Linked DNA regions of Tamandua tetradactyla. The protein of the gene in region 2 binds, or shares a complex with, the protein of the main gene of each other region. Links are inferred from orthologs where the notes say so. Each region holds a gene or a part of one and is shown on either strand. Other genes may lie near its edges.

What was found. Proteins that work in one complex are often made in the same cells at the same time.
Region 1: NUP85 (region 2) and CETN3 share a complex: the UniProt entries of both Homo sapiens proteins name them as parts of the nuclear pore complex. The link is inferred for Tamandua tetradactyla from reciprocal best matches to the Homo sapiens genes NUP85 and CETN3.

Annotation. Positions count from the first base shown.
Region 1 is NC_135347.1:40,872,346-40,879,735, reverse strand, and holds the start of CETN3 (centrin-3), read right to left. Parts: upstream 3,098-7,390; 5' UTR 2,962-3,097; coding exon 2,945-2,961; intron 1,129-2,944; coding exon 993-1,128; intron 1-992. UniProt on the Homo sapiens protein: Plays a fundamental role in microtubule-organizing center structure and function. As a component of the TREX-2 complex, involved in the export of mRNAs to the cytoplasm through the nuclear pores.
Region 2 is NC_135332.1:15,620,112-15,627,161, reverse strand, and holds the start of NUP85 (nuclear pore complex protein Nup85), read right to left. Parts: upstream 3,111-7,050; 5' UTR 3,030-3,110; coding exon 2,769-3,029; exon of another isoform or gene 2,735-2,768; coding exon of another isoform or gene 2,711-2,734; intron 1-2,710. UniProt on the Homo sapiens protein: Essential component of the nuclear pore complex (NPC) that seems to be required for NPC assembly and maintenance. As part of the NPC Nup107-160 subcomplex plays a role in RNA export and in tethering NUP96/Nup98 and NUP153 to the nucleus.

The DNA.
Region 1 (7,390 bases), on a different chromosome or scaffold from region 2:
GCAAGAAGTTACTAAAGGTTTACAAGCAATGAACAACATGGTGAAAGAAGAATTTTAGAAGGATGACTCTAAATGGTATTGCACAGGGTGAACTAGAAACAGAGAAATCATTTAGGAATTAGGAAGTTTAGGTATAAAATAAGGTCCCAATCTAAGATGCTGATAATGTCAACAAATGGAAGAGACATTATAAAGGAAGAACTGATCAAATCTGGGTGACTAAAAAGCAGTGGGAAGGGAGCGATAGAGGACCTGAGACTGGGAAAGTCAGATTTATAGGCCTATTACTGCTCTCTAGCCTGTCACTGCATAGCCACTTTCCCTACTCAGAATTTTTGTGCTTAAAAATTCCCTCTTTACAAAAGTACCAAAATTAAAACTATCAAATAAACATTTATTTTCATCTATCCAAAGACTACAAAAAATCTCAAAATACCACCTTTCTCACTGTACCTAGTATAAGACCCTTACTACCTTAAATGCCAATTTTCCTTTGCATGTCTATAAATACTAGGCTTTAAAGTTGACAATTTCCTCCATTAGCACTGTGTCAACATCAAACAAGACTTAGGTTTGCAACCAGAGAAAGTAGGTTGAAACCGTATTAATAAATGTTCAAATTAAAAAACAAATAACACTCCCCCCAATCTGAAAAAGAACATGTCAAAAAAAAAAGTGGGAAGAATATAAGAACTGTTTACATCCCATAGTTTGAAATCCTTTATTTATGTAAATGAAAAACAAGTACCTTCGATAGGGATATATTTTTACACTTAAAATACGAATTATTTTAATACCACATGAAAAGGATTTTCTAAAAACCTGATCAGGGAGACTATTCAGCCTTATTATAGCACCTTACTATGAATGCTTAAAATGGTTTCATATTTCCAAAACAAATTTGTTAGTCAAATTATTTAGAAACGTATTTTAAGCAACTGTAAAGAATGCAAATAATTTTGAGAAATATAGTTTCTAAAGTACACTATTACCTTTAATTCGTGATAATCTATTGCTTCATCTTTGTCTGTATCAAACAGCTCAAAAGCATCTTTAATTTCTTGCTTCTGTTCCTCAGAGAGTTCTCTTCTTTTTTTCCTTTTTGTTTTGTCTACTACAAACTCATTTCTATAAATGAGGGGAAAAAAAGCCTTTAGACCATTTTAATCCTATTCTCGTATGCTTCTAAATGACTAAGATTGCAAAAGTGCAAAGAAAAAACAGCCAATGAATGATTTTCTAAATTTCTAAAAGGGAAGTATTTTAGAGAAAGAGAAATTTTCCTTACCAGTGAATTCTCTGCTCATTCCACAATTTTAGCTGCTATAAATTTGCCCTTCCTAAGAATGAACTGCATTACAGGTTATTAAAAGAATTAAGGACCTAATTTTCCTTAGTCTTCTAACACCACTAATACTACTGTGGAAGAAACAAGAACTGGAAATAAGAAACATTACTTTCAAGTCAGAAATGTCAAAAAAAAAAAAAAAAGCAAAGCACTTGTAGCACCTGTACTTATTATTTACATCACGCTACAATACAAAGTGTTTTAAAAAACCTCCAAGTCAAAGTCAAATGATAAATGACCAATATCGCTATATATTTTATGTATTTTTGATAGTACTTGTAGTTATCAAAATTACCACAAACAAAACATACAATTTATTTACTAACTTATAAAGTACTTTGGCACTACAGGTTCAAAATGTTTTAGATTACACGTTCCTAATAGATTAGCATTGTATCTGTAATTCTTCCACTGACATTAACTTAGCCAAAATATTGAGTCTAAATATATGAATATTAATTGCTGAAAGTCAATGGTCTTCTAGGTCTCATTTAACAAGTAAATTATATGTTAAATTTCTCATAAACTATGGAAAAGTCTAAAGAAAAAAATATTTAAAAAAGCACAAGTATCTTAAGAGATCTAAAAATGTTCCAAATTTTCAAATAAGCTATAACACTTGAATAAGTTTTTAAAAGCCAATAGGTTCTTACAAAACTTTAAAATGTAAACCCAGTTGATTTTATTGGAACACATTATCTATTTGCATTTGAAGGTCATTTTGGTCTCTGAAATCTACCCCAAAAAAGCAAGAAGAGATGGCTAGAAAGTGACAAGGAGATGAAGGATGAGAAAGATGTTTATTTCACATGAGACCTGACTTCACACAAGCTTGGACACTTCCCGGGGTCAGTCATTCCTATTCCAAGATTCCGAGAAGAAAATCCGCAACCGACAACTGACCCCATCAGAAGGTACCACAGTCGTCCCTTAGCAAAACACGGAACCTTTTAGAGTGACTTAACTATCTGAAAATTTTTACACTGATGACTGAATTAGGAGAGGGGGGAAACAGGCGGAGAAGGATTAGAGGTTAGAACTGAAAAGACATTTAAGAACTCCAAGATAAAGATGGGCTATTAATCAGTAAAACAGATCCCCAGTTATGCCATATACCCCAGGAGAACAGCGAGTTTTGTGATATTTCCAAAATGTACGGCTGGATGACATTAGCACTGGGACAGAAAAGGTGGAGGCTGGAAATTGGCAACAAGCCCCTGAATTAAAAGCTGCTACACAGCCGGATTTCTCCCAGGAGCACCCTGAGTAGAAATCTCGCGATAATTCATCCCCTCCTCGCTCGTAAGCACAGCAACCACCTTTTAGGTGGGCCGAAGTACAAGGGGTGACAGAAAAGACCAACTCGGCAGAAATGCACAGGACTCAACAGCTGCGGACACGCGGGACCCTTGAGTGAGGGATCCAGACCCAGGATGTTGGCCGTGGCTCCTTCTCCGTCCACCGTTCCCGCCTCTCTTTCTTCGCCTCGGACCCAAACTACCTCCCTTACACACACACACACACACACACACACACACACACACACTCACACACAAACCGGTCCCACTCCGGCATTACGGCCTCCTCATTACCGACCTCAGAGCTAAACTCATTTTCTCCTCGGACAGAGACGTTCCTCAAAAACGATCTTAACCCCCTACCCAGGGCAGCACGATTTCAACAAGCCGTTCAACAGACAACAACGACCTCACAGTCCTCGAGGACCTCCCACAAGATACAGTTCTGAGCTGGATTGGTTGAAAATCACTAATGTCCTGCCTATTCGGGCGGGAGCCCCATTACTTCTATGTTCCCATTGGGCAAATTTAGCGTCAATCAAAGGAACTTCCTGCCGCATGTCGCTTACTGCCCTGCTCGTCCTCTAGATTGGCCAGATGCTTTATTTCCCTGAATCCTTTGCGCGGCCGGTTTAGGCGGCGGGTGGGTGACCCTGGCCTCACGCGAGGAAGCCAGCCAGGGCGCTTACTCGGAGGAAGGAATGGTAGAGACGAGCCCCAAGCTACCCTCCAGATAGAGAGAGTGCAGCTGGGGCACGATAGCTATAGAATTTGAACCCACTATGTTCTAAAACTTTGCGTGGCCTATATACATGGGGAGATTGCTCATACCGCAAATTTAAGTACCTCTTACCCCCCTGATTCCAATAGGTATAAATCTACTTTTTTTTTCCTTATAGACTGTCCAAGTGAACCTAGCAGATCTTGGATAATCACTGGGTTGAATTATTTGGCTGTTGACGGTGAAGCTGTACCTAATTGCACTTTCTCCTCGCATCTTCACTTGAATGGTTTTGTTCACTAATGTCCTTTGTTATTTTCTGGTGCTGTAAGCGCTTTTTACACCTGTTGTTATCTTCACCACTGAAGCAAGCTTCCGAAGCTCCTTTTGGTATTTAATGTGTTTGCTTGTGTTTACTCCCCTGAAAGGTGAATTTCTTGAAGCCCAGGGTTGTCTCTTCCATTTAACTCTCTTCCTAGTGCCTACCTAAAACAGTGTTTGACATATATAGTTGCTCAATAAATATTTGTTGCATTAATTGGAATCTTGCTGTGAAATTTCACAAACTACTGAACTAAACTGCAAATTAGAAACATGAATAAGCTAGACTGGCGATAGGATAAATGAGAAGAAAGATGAACAATCTGTAACACTAACATGTATAAGGAATGTGCATAAGTTTAGAGAAGGGAAAGAGCACAGCAGCGTAGGAAACAAAGCTTGAAGGGGGGTGGCCTTTTGTAGTACTTTTACCAGAAAAGGATGCTAAATTTTGTCAAATGCTGTTTCAGCATCAATCAATATGACTATATGCTTTTTCCCATTGAATTTATTAATAAGCTGTATTACATTAATTGATATTCTTAGTTGAACCACCCTTGCATTGCTGGCATAAATCCCACTTGGTTGTGATGTATAATTCTTTTAATGTATGGTTGGATTTGATTTGCTAGAATTTTGTTGAGATTTTTTACGTCTATGTTCATTAGAGAAATTGGTCTATCTTCTATTCTTGTAGTGTCTCTATCAGGTTTTGGTATTAAAGTGATATTGGCTTCATAAGTTAGGTAGTGATCCTTTTTCCTCAATTTTATGAAAGAATGTGGAAAAATTGTTAATTCTCTTGGGAACATTGGATAAAATTCCCCCTATGAAGCCATCCGGCCCTGGACTTTTCTTTGTAGAAAGACTTTTGATAGCTAATTGAATCTCTTCATTTGTAATTGCTTTGTTATGATCTCCATTTCTTCTTGAGACAGTGTTGTTAATTCATATGTTTCTAGAAATTTGTCGATTTCATCTAAGTTGTCTAGTTTGTTGGCATATAGTTCTCCATAATATCCTCTTATAATTTTTAAAAATTTTTCAGGATCCATAGTAACAACCCCCTCTGATTTCTAATTATGTTTATTTGCACCCTCTCTTTTTTTCTCTAGCTAGGGATCCATCAATATTATTGCTTTTCTCAAAAGACAACTTTTGGTTTAGTTGATTCTATTGTTTTGTTGTTGTTCTCCAGTTCATTTATTTCTGCTTTAATCTTTTTTTTTTTTTCCTCTTCTTTTTGCTTTGGGGTTAGTTTGCTATTCTTTCTCTAGTTCCTCAGGTGAGCAGTTAGGTCCTCAGTTTTTACTCATTCTTTTTTAATGTAGGCATTTAGGGCAATAAATTTTCCTCTCAGCACTGCCTTTGCTGCATCCCATGAGTTTTCATATGTCATATTCTCATTATCTTTCATCTTCAGATATTTACAAATTTCTCTGGTAATTTCTTCTTTGATCCATTGATTGTTTGAAAGTGTGTTATTAAATCTCCATGTATTTGTGAAATTTCTGATTCTTTGGTGATTGTTAATTTCCAACTGTTCTAGTTTGCTAAGCTGCCGGAATGCAATATACTATAAATGGAATGGCTTTTAAAAAGGGGAATTTAATAAGTTGCTAGTTTACAGTTCTAAGACTTAGAAAATGTCCCAATTAAAGCAAGTCTATACAAGTGTCCAATCTAAGGCATCCAGGGAAAGGTATCGTGGTTCATGAAGTTCAGGGTTTCTCTCAAGTGAGAAGGCACACGGCGAATACAGTCAGGCTTCCTCTCTCATCTGGAAGGGTACACGGCGAGCATGGCATCATCTGCTAGCTTTCTCTCCTGGCTTCTGGTTTCGTGAAGCTCCCGGAAGGCATTTTCCTTCTTCATCTCCAAAGGCCACTGACTCGTGGACTTTCCACTTTGTGGTGCTGCAGCATTCTCTGTTCTCTCCGAATCTCTTTCATTCTCCAAAATGTTTCCTCTTTAATAGGACTCCAGAAATTTATCAAGACCCACCCAAATGGGTGGAGACATGTTGTCACCTAATCCAGTTTAACAATCACTCTTGATTGAATCACATCTCCTGGGAGATGATCTGGTTACAGTTTTGAACATATATAGGGATTATTGAATAGGAATTATTCTGCCTTTATGAAATGGGATTTATATTAAAACATGGCTTTTCTAGGGGATAGACATCCTTTCAAACCAGCACACCAACTTAATTCCATTGTGATCAGAGAAAGTGTTTTGAATAATTTCAATCTTATTAAATTTACAAAGACCTGATTTGTCTTCCCATATATGATCTATCCTAGAAATATGTTCCATGAGCACTAGAGAAGAATGTCCTAGTATTTTAGGGTGTAACGATCCATATATATATATATATAAATTAGGTCCAATTCATTTATCACATTGTTTAAATTCTCCTTGATTTCTACTGATCCTCTGCCTAGTTGTTCCCACCTATAGAGGAGAGTGATGTATTGAAATCTTCCACTATTATTGTTGAAATGTCAATTACTCTCTTGAATTTAGCCAGTATTTGCCTCGTGTACTTTGGAGCTCATTGATTGGGAGCATAAAATTTATGATTGTTATTTCTTCTGGGTGAATTGTCCCTTTTATTAATATATAGTGTCCTTCCTCATCTCTTATGATGTCGGTACATTTTAAAGTCTATTTTTCTGAAATTAATATAGTTACCCCTGCTTTCTTTAGGTTAGAGCTTACATAGAATATCTTTTTTCATCATTTCACTCTCAATTCATTTGTATCCTTATGTCTAAGATGAGTCTCTTATAAGCAGCATATAGATGGATCTTATTTTTTAATCCATTCTGCTGATCTTTCTCTTAATTGATGAGTTTAGTCCATTAACATACAGAGCTATTGCTGTAGAGGCCATTCTTGAATCATCGTCTTAACCTTTAGTGTTTATTTATCAGACCTATATATTCTTTTCCTTCTTTCTCATATAATCATTTAAGTTACCCTTACTGTAAGTCTTCAATTTTATACTCTGCTCCAGACCTTCCTCTTTTGTCTTTTTCTTTTTTCAGTCGACAGAACTCCCTTTAGTGTTTCTTGCAGGGTAGGTCTCTTTTGGCAAATTCTCTTAGCCTTTTTTTGTCAGTGAAGATTTTAATCTCTCTCTCAATTTTAAAGAATAGCTTGGCAGGTTAAAGAATACTTGACTGGAAATCATTCTCATTCAGAATCTTAAATATATCATACCACTGCCTTCTCACCTCCATGGTGGCTGTTGAGTAGTCTGAGCTCAGTCTTATGTGGTTTCCTTTATATGTAGTTAATTGCTTTTCTATTGATGCTTTCATGATTTTTTGCTCTTCTTCAATATTTGACATTCTGATCAGCTTGTGTCTTGGAGTATGCCTATTTGGACTTATACTATTTGGGGTTCATTGGATTTCTTTGATTTTCATCTTTGTGTCTTTTATAAGAGTTGGGAAATTTTCTCCTATTATCCCTTTAACTAGCCTTCCTATCCCTTTACTCTTCTCTTCTCTTTCTGGGTCACTGATAATCCTTATATTTGTGAACTTTATGTAATCTATCATTTCCCTGAGATCTAGTTTGGCTTTTTCCGTCTTTCTTGCCATTTGTCCTTGTATGCATTCAAGTTCAATTGTCCTTTCTTCTAATTCACTTATTCTTTTTTCTGCCTCTTCAAATCTTCTATTGTGGTCT
Region 2 (7,050 bases):
TAAGAGAACAGAAAGTCCAGAGCAAACCCACATGCATATGGCTGATTTTTAACAAAGGTGCCAAGGTAATTTTATGGGGAAAGGATATATTTTCAACAAATAGTGCTGGAACATATGGATATCCACTGGGGGGGGGGGGGGATAAAAATTAAAAAGTAAGAGCAGAATCTATAAAACATATAGACAAAGCAAAGGAGAACATCTTTTTTACTCTGAATGAGACAAAGATTTCCTAGAACACAAAAAGCACAAACCATGGAAGGCATAAAAGAAAAAGATTTATAAAGGACTTCATTAAAATTAAAAACTTTCCCTCTTAAAAAGATATTGGAAAGTGAAAAGGCAAGCCATAGATTGGGAGAAAATATCTGTAAAGCATCTAATTGATAAAGGACTTCGGTCCAGAATATATAAAGAACTCTTACAACTCAAGAAAAACAACAACCAGATAGAATGGGAGAAAAATTTGAACACAGTTCACCAAAGAAGATATACAAATGACATATAAGCATGTAAAAAGATTCTCAATATCATTTGTCATTAGAGAAATATGAATTAAAATGACACTGAGATACCACAACACACCCACTAGAATGGCTAAAATGATATGACTGATCATACCAAGAGTTGACAAGGGTATGGAGCAACTGCATTTCTCACAATTTGCTGGTACAGGTGAAAAAAAAAATGGTATAGAAGAACTGAGCTTCTTCTAGCTAAATATGCATCTACCCTAACTCCTAGCAATTCCACTTACCCAGAAGAAAGGAACGTGTATGTGCAAACAAACAAAAACTACCAGCTTGTACAGGAACACAGAACAGCTTTATTCACGGTAGCCAAAAATGGAAACCCAAGTATCTATCAACAAGAAACATGATTCATACAACATAACAAATCCTAAAAACAATGAGTTCTTGAAAAACACACACAGAAAACAAATACTGAGCTAAATTTCAAGAGCAGGCAAAATTAATGTATGGTGCTAGAACTCAATGTGTGGGATGGTGGAAACTGACTGGAAAGGGAAATGAGGCTTCATGTCTGGGTTTCCATGGGTCCTTGAACTACATGTAATTACATGCATGGGGCATTTTTGGAGGGAAAATTTGACTATAACTTACATTTCTTAAGCGTCCTTGACCCCAAAAATAAATTAAAAAGGCTAAGACCACTGGTCTAGATGAACTACCCACCCAAGACTATCCTACTCTCTTTAATCTATGCTGAGACATCACTGAATGTGCTAATTACCAAATTGCCTTCATGTGCCCTGATAAGAAGCAGTTGCCTGAACAGCAGACAACTACTATAAGAGGTATATTAATAAAATGTTATTCAGGTATTCAGGGTTATTTATCATTCTCTTGAGAGTCTGATTAGAGTAAACCCAAAGCACAGATTAACTCTCAAATACAGAAAACAGTTTCATTTGAATTTGCAGAGTCCAGGCTTAGAGTTTGGACTATGAAATTCTTCCAAGATGGTGCCATGCAGTGAGGCTCTGTCCACAGGCAAACCAGCTTCCTAGCGGGTCTCCCCAATACCAATGCAGAATGTGGTTACCACAAATTAATCATCATCACTTGGGGGAGGAAGGGGGCCTAGCTGAACATTTTGTCCCTTTTGAAAATGCATATCCCAGTATCAGAGAAAAGGTTCTCCAGGGTTTGACAGGGAAGTTTCCCTCATTCAAAGATTCTGACATAAGTGGACTGTGAAACGAAAAGACGACATATACTTTCAAAAAGTTATATCAGTAATCCTGGTTTTCTAATTCTTCTTCTTACATACACCACCAACATTGATATAAATACTTGATACATATTAAATATTTAAACTTTACAGCAGTAAGCTCAATAGAAAGTAATAACCATGTTAGTTTGCTCCTACTTAATATCTCATGTCTTATTTCTGTCTATTTAGCTTTGAAAGATCCTTATTTTCAATGTTTGGTTTGTCATAGACTGCTTTGCAATCTGGTGGTTTTAGATGAAAACTGTTGTCATTTCAACTTTCTAAAAAGCAAAAACACACGCTCAGTTAATTACAGTTTGTTAACAGCTAAGAAGTACAGAACTCTGAAAGCCTATAACAGACAGGAGATAGTTCACCTACTCAAGGTCAGGGTAGGCTTTCCTGAAAATGAAGCTGCTGGTGCTTGGATTTGAATAGTGAGTAAGAGATAAACCAAAACCAAAGGGGGGACTATTCCAAGCAGAGAAAGCGGTAACTAAATAGTATCTAAAACCTAGGAATCTATTTATAAACATTAAGATCATCCGCAGTTGACACTGTTCTCGAGTTCAAACGGAGTTGAATGCAAACAGAGCAATGAAACTAGCAATAGTCTCCCGAGAGAATAAGTTTAATAAACCTCGGGCCAACACTGTACAAACAGCTGACAGAGTCCAAGCTCCCGGCATTACGATGTGGAGTTTAGTTCGGCTGGAAGAAAAAATCTTCCTTCTGCTTGGTCCAAGCCTGCTCTAATACCCAAGAGGAAAGGCCAGGGGAAATGGGAAGGACCGGAGACCTAGGGAGGGAGCAGGCCCTCAGGGGACAGGTTTCTGAGGGAATAAAAGAGCAAAAACCCAGTTACCACTGCAAACCCAACTCTGGCATCTAGTTAGTGTCGAGACCTCCCGACCGTGGCCAATAAGCCGACATTCTCGAGGGCGGTACGTAGGTTAAAAAGCCCAAAACGTACAAGCAGGCACAGCCTTCGGACCATGAGGGCAAACAAGCCTATTCGGGGATGCCCTTACAGTGACTACTGGCTCGCCATCGAAATCCTCCATGTCGCCGCGACCCAGCCGCCCGGAACTCGCAGGGACGCCAAAGCTCCAAGGCTCCCGCTCGACCCGCCTGCTCGCAGTCCGGCTGGCAGAGAAGACCCCGCCTGAGCGCCTCCTGCACTGCCGTTCAGGCCCAAACCCTCCAAAACGGCAGGCACCTCTCTTCTCAGTCACAACCCGTCTTCTGCGGCCTTCTAAAACTATCGCTCCTTCCTGGCCTCGACAACACATCAGGGAAAACAGCCAAGGCCACTCTGTCCTCACAGTAATTCTCCGCACCGATCAGGCGCCGCCGAGGACAGCCCCGCGAGCGCGGCGCGAGCGGCACCCCGGGCGGAGGCGGCGCGGGTGCGCGTGCGTGGCCTGGGGCGGCTCCTGGCGCTTGGGTCCCGGCCCCGCCGTGTGGAGCGCGCGGTTTCCCGCGTGGCCGGCTCTGCTCGCCTCCTCCTAGTCCCCTTGATACAGTCGCTGCTTCTCCTGGCGGTGTCCAAGGAAAGGGAGCCCCGTCGGCCCAACGGACTTGTGTTCGAAGGCAGTAGCCGCCACTCCCACCCCAAAACACAGGACGTACTTGAACGAAACTGATGCCGCTGAAACAGAGACAGATAGGCTGGTTTAATTAAGCACAAACACTGGTTTTCTTTCTGCAAATAAAGGCCGGGACCAAACAATAGCAATCAGGGAATCCGTGCCTCTGTTACAGAAAACTTAAAAGTGCCCCCAATAACTTCAAATTGTGAAATTGGTTTATTTTCAATGCCATATAACAGTTGTCAAGTAAGAGAATAGTACTTTTTCTGAATTTCTTATGTAAAGGACTTTTCGAACGAACTAAAGATATTTGAAATTTGAAAGACTTAAGAATGCCTGAAAATGTAGCAGCTTCCTTTATTTAGGAAAGAAATTATTTTGAAAACCAGACAAATGTATGAGTGCCCTACCTGGAAAACTTCTTTCCCTGAGGTTATTCCGAATAATCTATTTGTATTAGTGGAAATAAGATGACTTCGAGAGTTAGGAAAATCCTCTCACCCCAATAAAACTTTAAGGGTTTTTTGTTTTGAACACGATTGTTAACTAAGAGAAGGAAAATCAGTGTCATCAAAAGCCCTGTCACTGAGGTCAGACATCTGTAGGAAGAAATTTAGCATAGCCTTACACAAAACTCCACAGCGTTTCTACCATCTGTATTTTGCTGCATATTCCAAATGGTTCACAAAGTTTCACTGATCTTTTTGTGACTGCCTTAGTGATCAAACCCGGGGGGTGGGGTGGGAGGTTCTCTGCCCAATTTACACAAATGAGCAATTCCTGAGACGAGGGTTTCACTGGGAGAAAGCATTTATTGCCAAGTGCGAAGCAAGGAACAGATGGCCTGTGTACCCAAAATCTTTGTCTCCAAACTACAATAACTCTGAGAGTTTTATAGTATCAAAGGCAGGTTTTAGGATAATGAGTAGAATGGCTCACAATGACAAAGTTAGAGATGATCTAATTAAGCATGCACAAGTTGATTACATGCCTAGATAGAGAATATATATATAAGAAGGTGGTGGCTTTAACATGATGATGGGTATGACTTTTAGTTTTATCATTAGGTATAGGTCACATAGGTTAAGGCTTACCCTACTGCACTTGGCAAATGGGCCAATTTTAGTTAGATCCAGTTTTGTCTAGTAAAATAGCTTAGGAATTGGGGTGGGTTCTGGGCTCCTTAAGTTACTTCCTTAATAAACATTAAGAGGCTGTCTAGTTATCACAAGACTTAAATGTTATAAAACAGGATAAAGGGGTATAAGCGGGGCCAGTTACAAATTATCACAAGGCTTTTACAATCATAAGATAAAGAGATAATCATCAAAATCAAGGCATCTGGTCAATGGCTGAGAGATTCCAAACAGGGTCGAGAGGTTATCCTGGAGGTTATTCTTACGCATTAAGTAGATATCACCTTGTTGTTCAAGATGTAGTGGAGAGGCTGGAGGGAATTGCCTGAAAATGTAGTGCTGTGTTCCAGTAGCCATGTTTCTTGATGATGATTGAACAAAGATATAGCTTTCACAATGAGACTCTGTGAATGTGGAAACCTTATGTCTGATGCTCCTTTTAGCTACTATATCAACAGAAGAGTAGAACATATGGAATAAAAATAAACAGGGGGAACAGGGCAGTTCACGGTGGCTCAGCAGGTAAGAGTGCTTGCCTGCCATGCCCAAGGACCTGGGTTCGATTCCTGGTGCCTGCCCATCTGAAAAAAAAATAATAGGGGGAACAATGTTAAAATAAATTCAGTTTGAAATAGTGGTAAATGAAAGTGAGGGGTAAGGGGTGTGGTACGTATAGTTTTTTTTTCTCTATTATCATTTTATTTCTTTTTCCGTTGTCTTTTTATTTCTTTTTCTAAATCGATGCAAATGTACTAAGAAATGATGAATATGCAACTATGTGATATTAAGAATTACTGATTATATATGTAGAATGGAATGATTTCTAAATGTTTTGTTTGTTAATTTTTTTAAATTAATAAAAAAAATCAAGGCATCTGGGTTAAGGTTCAGGGAGTCTCAGTAGATTCAGATATTTACTTTGGCTATTCTACAATTACTCGAAGGTAAAAAGGTATCTATATAATGATTCAGTCATCATAATCATTTGTTAACTCTTAACCTCTCCGAAACAACTGGTACCACAATGGGGCTTATGAAGTATGAGCATGATATATTTATGTCCAGTTTTAAAGGGGAAAAAAGAGGTCCAATGTTTCCAAAAGGAAAATAAACATTCAGTAGCAGATAGATGAAATTTTTTTTGTTTTATTTTTTTGCATGGGCAGGCATGGGGAATCGAACCCAGGTCTCTGGTCTGGCAGGCAAGAACTCTGTCTGCTGAGCCACCATGGCTTACCCTAAAATAGCTTTTGTATCTGCTTTGGCTATTCAAAATTCTTGAAGTAGAAGTTAAAGCCAAGTTTGATAAGACATTGATACTTAGAAATCATTCCTGATTTCCCTCAGAGAAAATTCTCTGAGACAAGATGGGCGTAGAAGGAAAGGAAAAGATCACAGGACAAAAGACCAAAAAGAAAAACCATCCTTTGCAAAACATAACTTAAGGAAAATTTAATTTGAACAAATGAAAACAAAAGAGCTTAGAGAGATATATAAAATAACTAGAATATGCAAATTAATAAAGACAGAAAGTAGAGTACAGTGTTCTAGCTGGCTACAATGCAATATACCAGAAACTCAGTGGCTTTTAAAAAGGGAATTTAATAAGTTGCAAACTAACAGTTTTTAGGCTGAGAAAATGTTCCAATTAAAACAAATCTATAGAAATGTCCAATCAAAGGCATCCAGGGAAAGATATCTTGGTTCAAGAAGGCCAATGAAGTTCAGGATTTCTCTCTCAAGTGAGAAGGCACATGGCGAACACAGTCAGGGTTTCTCTCTCATTTGGAAGGGCACATGGTGAACACCACGTCATCTGCTAGCTTTCTCTCCGGCTTCCTATTTCATGAAGTTCTCCGGGAAGCCTTTCCCTTCTGCATCTCCGAAGGTCACTGGCTGGTGGACTCTGCTTCTCCTGGCTATATCATTCTTCTCTGCTCTCTCAGAATCTCTCGACTTTCTTGTTCTCTAGCTTTTTCCAAAGTGCTTCTTCTTTTAAAGGATTCCGGTAAAGCCAATCAAGACCCACCCGGAATGGTTGGAGACACGTCTCCACCTAATCAGGTTTAACAACCACTCTTGATTGAGTCACATCTCCAGGGAGATAATCTAATTGAAGTCTCCAACATACAGTGCTGAATGGGGATTAGAAGAAACTGTTGCTCCCACAAGGCTGATTAAGGTTAAAACATGGCTTTTCTAGGGCACATAAAGCCTTTCAAACCAGCACATACAGGTTAGAGGTTGTGGAAGGAGGGATGAGGAGTTAATGGGTTTCTGTTAGAATGATGAGAAAGATCTCGTGATGAATGGTGGTGAGGGTAACACAACACTGGGAATTTGTTTTAATCCACTAAAGTATATACACTACATATGGTTGCATATCTATTTCCACATTAATGTATTTAATGTGGAAATCACATTAAACACATGCCTTTGAGTATAGGTTGTACCTATAATGATTCTTGAACACTTTATACTTCCATGTACAGTTCCAAATTACACGTTCCTGGATTGGATCTAATAATGGAGGAGAAAAGGCCCAAAAGGACATTATTGAGACATATGAAAAAATTAGTATATAG